Linked DNA regions of Xenopus tropicalis. The protein of the gene in region 1 binds, or shares a complex with, the protein of each later gene. Links are inferred from orthologs where the notes say so. Each region holds a gene or a part of one and is shown in the gene's direction. Other genes may lie near its edges.

Region 1 (4,345 bases):
TAATTACCCCTTATTGGGGGCAGAACAGCCCTATTGGGTTTATTTCATGGTTAAATGATTCCCTTTCTCTCTAATAATAAAACAGTACCTGTACTTGATCCCAACTAAGATATAATTACCCCTTATTGGGGCAGAACAGCCCTATTGGGTTTATTTAATGGTTAAATGATTCCCTTTTCTCTGTAATAATAAAACAGTACCTGTACTTGATCCCAACTAAGATATAATTACCCCTTATTGGGGGCAGAACAGCCCTATTGGGTTTATTTAATGGTTAAATGATTCCCTTTTCTCTGTAATAATAAAACAGTAGTTGTACTTGATCCCAACTAAGATATAATTACCCCTTATTGGGGGCAGAACAGCCCTATTGGGTTTATTTCATGGTTAAATGATTCCCTTTTCTCTGTAATAATAAAACAGTACCTGTACTTGATCCCAACTAAGATATAATTACCCCTTATTGGGGCAGAACAGCCCTATTGGGTTTATTTAATGGTTAAATGATTCCCTTTTCTCTGTAATAATAAAACAGTACCTGTACTTGATCCCAACTAAGATATAATTACCCCTTATTGGGGGCAGAACAGCCCTATTGGGTTTATTTAATGGTTAAATGATTCCCTTTTCTCTGTAATAATAAAACAGTACCTGTACTTGATCCCAACTAAGATATAATTACCCCTTATTGGGGGCAGAACAGCCCTATTGGGTTTATTTCATGGTTAAATGATTCCCTTTTCTCTGTAATAATAAAACAGTACCTGTACTTGATCCCAACTAAGATATAATTACCCCTTATTGGGGGCAGAACAGCCTTTTTGGGTTTAATTACTGTTTAAATATTTTTTTTTAGCAGACTTAAGGTAGCAGATCCGAATTACAGAATGACCCCTTCTCCGGTCCTTCGCATTCTGGATAAGGGGTCCCATACCTGTATACTAACCAATAGTGTCAGTTTGCACTGAACTGCGTTCATCTTTGCGCGTCTGTGGGTAGTTAATGAGCCCCAGTGAGCCCCCCATGCTGCTAATGCCCCAGTCACAGAATGAAACAAAGTGTAACTCTGTGACATTTTTATGACATGAATGAATTTCTGGTTTTCCCTCCCAGCCTATTGTATCCTGTAGGAGAGAGCAGGATCAGACAGCCAGCAGAACTCTCATTCCTCCTTTCCCTCCATATAATATATATATATATAATACATATTATCTAAACTGCTCGGAACCTGTTTGGGCTGTCAGTAAAGACCCAGTAGCAGCTGCAAGACGCGCACTGATCCAGCGTTTCTCCCTGCGCTGCCGCCATTCCCAGCAGCCGCCGACAGAGGGCGCCCCCGCTCATGCTTTCATACTGGCGACTGAACAAAGAATCCGTATAGAGCCAGTGGAGCCAGTGCTGTCCCCTCCGCAATCCCCATTCCATCCCATTCCTGCGCTTCCCAGCTCCTTGTTTTCCTCTCCAGCCTCTTCACTTTCTGTGGATCAATGGGTGAACACATTTGATTCTTAGCTCACATACACTGCTGGTGGATTGCTCTAGTAACAAGTGAGCTCTTTAAAGCCCCTGTCTTTTTCTCCTCTGCCAGGGAAGGAGGAAGCATCAGTCTCTCCTGTGCTTTTCTTTTTTTTTTTTATTAATAACCCCCTTTTTTTACCAAGCTGATTTTTATTTTTATCCAGCACTGGGGACATGGGACTCCTCTACAGATTTATTTTCTGCACCTGGATCTAATTCTGGAGGATTTTATCTTTGGATGGTTTTCATTGGGACCTTCAGCCCACCCTACAAGCTTGCCCCTACTTACTTGCTATTTGGAAGGGGGTACATCAGGGCTGATGCTGAACTGGACCAGCATTAACTTTGCCTGCTGAAGCCGCCAAGGGACCAGGAATATTTAAGGCAATCAGGGTTGAGTGTGCATGAGTGTGCTTGGGAATTGGGACACAAATCGGGAGGTGTTTGCTGAAATATGGAGAATAGTCTTGGATTTTATTCACTACCAAAGCTGGTGTTTCTCCTGCATGGATTCGCTCTGCTCAGCCTAAATCTCCCGGTATCCGGTAAGTAACATCTCCGGCATTCCCTTCCATCCCCAGCCTAGGAACCAGGACCCTCAGTGTGGCTCCCGGAGGAGCGATTTCATAGAGATTCTCTGCACTTTGCTTGTTTGGAGAAGGAATAGCAGCTTTCATTTCTCCTCTTTACTTCACATCCATGCTGCAGTATTTTAAAGGGGAAAAAAACCCACACACACACATACACACACATACATATTAACAAGCAGTAGAAGGGAAAAAAAAATGCAGCAAGATCTTATAATGAATTATTAAGACCCTCGTCCCTAGAGCCGAAGTGATATTTTAAAGATAGAAGTGAATAATTTAAACATTTTTGGTTTTGTAAAACCGTTCCGCCAGCCCCAGTGATGTATATTTCACAGCTTCTCCTTATCCTGCAAGATCTGGAAGAGAATGGTGGCTTCGGGCCAAATAGGACTATTTATATACGGCGGAGCGTGGTTTATAATGGGGCACGGTGCGTTCTGGCACAACTACATAAAGTTGTGCGTGCCAATTCATGCTATTAAACTAGTGGAATGAATGGGGGCTCGCTAGTGATTTCACATGTGACAATGGGGTGTGTGTGTGTCATATAAGGGACGTCTTTATTGCCCAAACATGCTCCGCAGTGCTAATGCTTGGGACTGGAATATCAAGTCAAGTAGCAAGTCACCAAGAGCTTGGTTGCACCTAGGTGTAGTGCACGATGGTTATAGTTCTGTGATACTGAGGGTTGGGGGTTGAGGTGACAGTATATACTGCTTGTATTTGTGTATATGGCACACTGAGCTGCAAGGGTTGTGCACACATTGGGGCTGTAGGAGGCAATACAATGGATGGGTCCATTCACATGGTGCTGAAGTGGACAGCGACCGGCTCTGGTAGAATTCTACTGCTCAGCGCAGTTCATGCCAGGGTGCCGGGCAGCACACACATGTAGTTGTATTATTAAAGAAAAATAAAATGTAAAAGTTGGGGGAACCGGAAGCAACCATTGGCATCCAGGCTTGGGAAATGTGCAATGGAGCTGTAAAGGCACCGGAGCTTTTGCTTGGCCTCTTCTCATTAATCTTTACACTCCCAGCCCTCCTTCTAGTGAGCTATTTTCTTTCTTTCCAACCAGAGAGCCAGGGGGGAGGGAGAAGTGATAGTAGTGAAAGGAAGACACCAGCAGGAGGTGCCCACTAAAGGGGCCGGGGTGCAATTGCGGCTCTTTTACTCAAACTTCCTTAGCATTGGGGAGCCAATTGGCACCGCTTTGCCAATCAATTCAGCCTTTTTTGAGTTTTTCTTTGTAAATGGTTCTGTTTGTTATAGAAAATATAATATAGAAATATTATTAGAAAATATTTATTATTATTCATCATTAAAATAGTGGTTTATTCTTCACTTGATCGCCAAGACACACACTCCATTGGGGTAACATGTATGACCCAATGATATTAATGAAAATTGTTATTACTTTATGAATACGGTCTTATACCTGGGGTACAGTGGGAAACACGTCTGGGCGTGGGGGGTGGGTTGGATGAAAACATGTTTTACCCCTCCTACAGGGTACGAGAGTATTACTAACATACATCTGAATAGAGATGTAATGAAATCTCAGTGCCAACGAGACTCAATAGCCCAATTAATATAGGGGGTTTAAGTAAGGTACGCCCATTTTCTTGCTATTGTTGAAATGTAAATACTTGCTTGAGGGTGGATGATGGGAGTTGTAGGACTTGAGGTTGGAGCCTATGATTAAGTGCTGGGTAAGCATGAAACGCGTTAGGCTAATATTGAGTGGTATATGAGTTTATATATTTTGTAGTGGGGATCCCTAGTGCAAGGGGTTTCTTACTTATATACATACCCATGATGTATTATTGATATTGGCATTTGGTGCAAATAAACCCAACATTGGATACATTTGCCTGAATTATAGGGATATTGAAATCCCTCCCCATGAATGGGGTAATTCCGATATAGACCAACGTTGCACACGTGGCCCCTCGGGAAAGACAGGTTGCCTTGGTGCTTGGGTTCCCCTCAGTTCATTTGCCCCGAAATCAATACTACTGTGCTTGCTGTAGCATTTCCATGTGTTTATTATTAAAAAAAATGCAACGTGGTATGGTGAATTGATTTTATGACCACGTTAGCAGCGTTATAAGGGGCAGGTCGGCCTTGATGGAAAGGGGGGCAGCGGCCCCCAAGGCTGGTTTAATTTGAATGATTTAGCCATTAGAGAAGGCCACTGACTGGCTGTATAGGCCGACGGCCGGCTCCCCGGAGAA
Region 2 (3,821 bases), about 50 Mb from region 1:
GGCCCTTCAGGTTGATTTTGGCAAATTATCTGCCAGTGTATGAGGCCCTTCGACATGGCCCTACCCTGCCAATATCTTGCTGAAAATTGGGGAGGTTTGAATCGAGGACTTCATTGACTTGTTGATTCGACCACTCCAATGCTTGTATTCCTGTCATTATGGTCTGATCATTTGGCCCTAGGTTCAGCCCAATATCGGTCACCTCGGTTAGGCATATCGGGAAAGAATCTCCCCGATAGAGGTTCCCAGTATGTATAAAAAGGTGATGTAAGTTGAGAGTTTTTAGCCCTAGTTGTGCCTTATTCATTGTGGTCTCCTCAGCAAATGAAGCTACTTCTATATTCTAGAATTCCAAGCAGTGCAACAGCCATTGGTACAGCGAACCTCCTTCCCCAGCTAGGTGTGTGTGTGGATTAGGTTTGGATGTGCCACAACGGCAGCTTGCTTGATTCATTAGGAAGGCACCAAAACCAGCTGGCCGTGAGACAGTACTGATCTTCACATGGGACATAGCATTGCTTTTGACATAGTACCCTTTTGGCAGTTTACTTTCCAGAATCCAGAAAAAGTGGGCAGTCTTTCTTAGCTGTTAAACTGTAGGTGAGTAGGTTCTCAGTCAACATGCTTTTGACTCCCTAGTTCAGCAGAAGCTGCCAGAACTTTTTGGTGGCAGCTCGGAATCCTCTGTTTATGAGAATAGATGCTGTGGTCATTTCATAATTGTTCTGATTTTCATATGCACCAGAGGTTACCTCTTTAGATTAGAGGAACAGAACTTTGGAACAGAGTAGGAAATTTTTCATGGCGAGGGCAGTGCGGTTGTGGAATACCCTGCTGAGTGAATTTATGATGGCAGATTCTGTTAAAGGGGACAAATACTATACATTTTTACAATGCACTCAACCATGTAAAATAATGTCAAATAGAAGTAAGTGCGTTTATTTTAATACCTTTTGGTTCAAATATGCCCATAACTGCTTGAAAACTGTGCTCTACCCAGTCCTTTTGCAAGCTTCCGGTTTAGACTCTTCAGTATGTGGCTGGGGCCCTGATAGACTTCAGTAACAGAGCAGCAGCTACTTAAAGTGCAGTGAATATGCATAGGGTGGGCAGGGCTTTGCAATGTCACAGGCAGTCTGTTCCTGCTCCAGCTATATAGTTTATAGCTACGTGCGTATATACGTGCATAGATCGGTATAAAGTGTGTGTATATATGTGCAGAGGGGTTCAACTTGATGGACTTTGGTCTTTGTCTTTTTTTCTCCAACCCAATCCGTAATCTATATAAACATGGTTCCATTTATTCCATTGCTTGCGAGGGTCAATGAGACCATAAAGAACAGCAGTAGGTTATCATTATAGGCACTGACTCCTGCTTGGTAAAATTTATAGCAACACTGATATTGTATTGCGGTCCACCTTTATTGGACAGTATTGTATTGCAGACCACTTTTTGGCACCCAGCTTAAAAGGAGTCTAGCTTTCATAAATATAATATATTAGAAGCAACGAGGGGTTCTATGACCATATAAAGGCACAAGGATAAAGGTCATTTAGGTCATGGACCTCTGACTTGACCCTCATATTAAAGAAGGGGTATATTTTATCATGTTTCATGCAGTCACGTGACACAAATTGCATTAGTAAGCACTTGTTATAACTGATTACATTACTAACAACCATTTCTAAGAATATAATTTACATGATTTTCATGGTTGCTGTGTCTTATAATTGTATGTTTAAGTTAACTGTTCCGTATTTTTCAGGAATTCTTGGATCTCCATCTCAAGAGGACCTAAACTGTATAATCAATTTAAAAGCTAGGAATTACTTGCTTTCCCTTCCTCACAAAAATAAGGTGCCATGGAACAGACTTTTCCCTAATGCAGATCCTAAAGGTAATTTGAATTCATTTTTTGGTTGGGGGTGGGGATGAAAGGGAAAGATTTTACTGTTCCAAGGAATAATATATTTTTAAACTGTATGCCACTTGTTTCAACCTATTGGTTGCATTAAGTGCTCTGTTAAAACAGTCGTCAGAATTAGTAAGAGATTGATGGTTTTTCATAAATTAAATGCATCAGGGACAATAATTTCCTACTGTCTGATATAGTCAAACCAGGAGCTAAGCTTTGTCAGTAATGTGTTCTCTAATACTTACTTTATGATGCAAATTATATTTAATAGAAGGTTTACTATTAGTCTACTTCTGCTGTTTTTAAAATCAATATACTGGTCGTTTACAAAGATCCATTAAGCAGGTTTGAACATTGATTCAACTGAGTAGGCTGAAAGAAGCGGTAATACAAGTTTGTGTATTTTGAATCTGACTATACAGTAGATTGATCCTTTTGTTTATTCCTATATTTTGCTTTGTGTTAATGTTATCCAGCGTACTGAAATATTTTTTACTGTGACCATTAGAAAGATTTACAGTTTTAAGCATATAGCCAGTGTTGGCTATAATATTGTAGCTACCATATTAAAGGAGAAGGAAAGGTAAAAAGTAAGCTTTTTAAGAAAGGTCTATGTAGATACAGCCATAAACACTTGCAGAACTGCTTCTCTGAGTCCTCGGTGAAAAAAAATTAATTTCTTTCCTTCTATTCTGTATACATGATATTCTGTGTCAGACTTCCTTCTCTTGGAAAAATCCTTTAGGACACAGCATAAGTCTGCTCAGTTTGCTCCTCTTGCCCTCCCTTCTGCTCTCTCTCCCTTGCCTCTGTACTGTAATCTTAGTTGAGAGCTGTTCCCTGCCTGTACGCTGCTGCTAGGAAGTGACGTCACACCAAGCTAAAATGGCAGCAGCTTAAACAAACAGAGGGCTCTTCTAGGGCTGTTTACTCAGGTATCATAAAGAGTTCTGAAGAATAAATATAGTATTCCAGCTCAAACTATTGTGACTAATCTATTGGCAATAAAATGCCTGAGTAGCTTTTCTTCTCCTTTAGAGTAAGTAAAGCCTAAAAACATCTGCATTGGAGTTTACCACAAAGTGCATTAATTTGCAGTCTCTCCACTTGTCAGTTCAAACCTGCCTGCAGAATAGGGCATTTTTATATTGCACTGTGTCTTCTAAACTATCTTTTATAAACCATAAGCCAGGCAAATACTTACCTGCACAATTGATTCATGGGGCACTTAATAGAAAAAGATCAGTTAGCTCCCAATTCTCCCTACTGATATGTTGTCAAAGAAATTCTAGCTTTGGGGGGAATCAAGGTGCTCTACATGTTCAGCATGAAATGTTGGTTAACAAGGGGTTTGTAAACGAATTAAAAGAGATTTAAGGGGGGGCGTGGCCTGCATGGCTTCCTGAGTGGACATGTGCCTGTGAGCTCTATCGCAACTATCCTGAATTTGCCTCTCTAGGCGACCTTACACACCAACATTTGAGCCACGATACAACATCTGACTTCATATAGATTATGGGTGGCAACAAGGCACAAATATCATGAGCAGAAGCCGCTGCCAAACTGGGACAGTTTTTTTGACAGCCTACACAAGATGGCGGCACTACCCCACCCAGAGAGGACAAAGAGGCCCATGCCCCGTTTCCTCTACAGGAACAAGCAATCCAGCTTGTCCTTGCAGCTAACAGACAGCCGAGTAGCTTTATCCTCCAAGCTTGAGGAGGTGAAAACTGACCTCTCACTTCTCCAAGCCGACCTGCAAATCTTGAGAGAAAGAACAACAGAGGCAGAGGGCCATATATCAAGGCTGGAAGACGCCTGCAACCCCCTGACAGCAAATGTGCAACAGCTCCAGTCGCAAAGTAAGCAACTAGCGGCGAAGCTGAATGAATATGAAAACCGGCA

Evidence for each region.
Region 2: the proteins of dcc (region 1) and mapk1 are in contact, whole or in part, in a crystal structure (PDB 3O71), measured with the Rattus norvegicus proteins. The link is inferred for Xenopus tropicalis from reciprocal best matches to the Homo sapiens genes DCC and MAPK1. Residues at the interface, in NP_036973.1 of Rattus norvegicus: Arg1149, Pro1150, Pro1151, Asp1152, Leu1153, Trp1154, Ile1155, His1156; in NP_446294.1 of Rattus norvegicus: Glu107, Thr108, Leu113, Gln117, Leu119, Asp122, His123, Tyr126, Phe127, Asn156, Thr157, Thr158, Cys159, Tyr314.

What each region holds. Positions count from the first base shown.
Region 1 is NC_030677.2:204,366,144-204,370,488, reverse strand, and holds the start of dcc (netrin receptor DCC), read left to right. Parts: upstream 1-1,476; 5' UTR 1,477-1,972; coding exon 1,973-2,063; intron 2,064-4,345. UniProt on the Homo sapiens protein: Receptor for netrin required for axon guidance. Mediates axon attraction of neuronal growth cones in the developing nervous system upon ligand binding. Its association with UNC5 proteins may trigger signaling for axon repulsion.
Region 2 is NC_030677.2:154,036,393-154,040,213, forward strand, and holds part of mapk1 (mitogen-activated protein kinase 1), read left to right. Parts: intron 1-1,766; coding exon 1,767-1,898; intron 1,899-3,821. UniProt on the Homo sapiens protein: Serine/threonine kinase which acts as an essential component of the MAP kinase signal transduction pathway. MAPK1/ERK2 and MAPK3/ERK1 are the 2 MAPKs which play an important role in the MAPK/ERK cascade.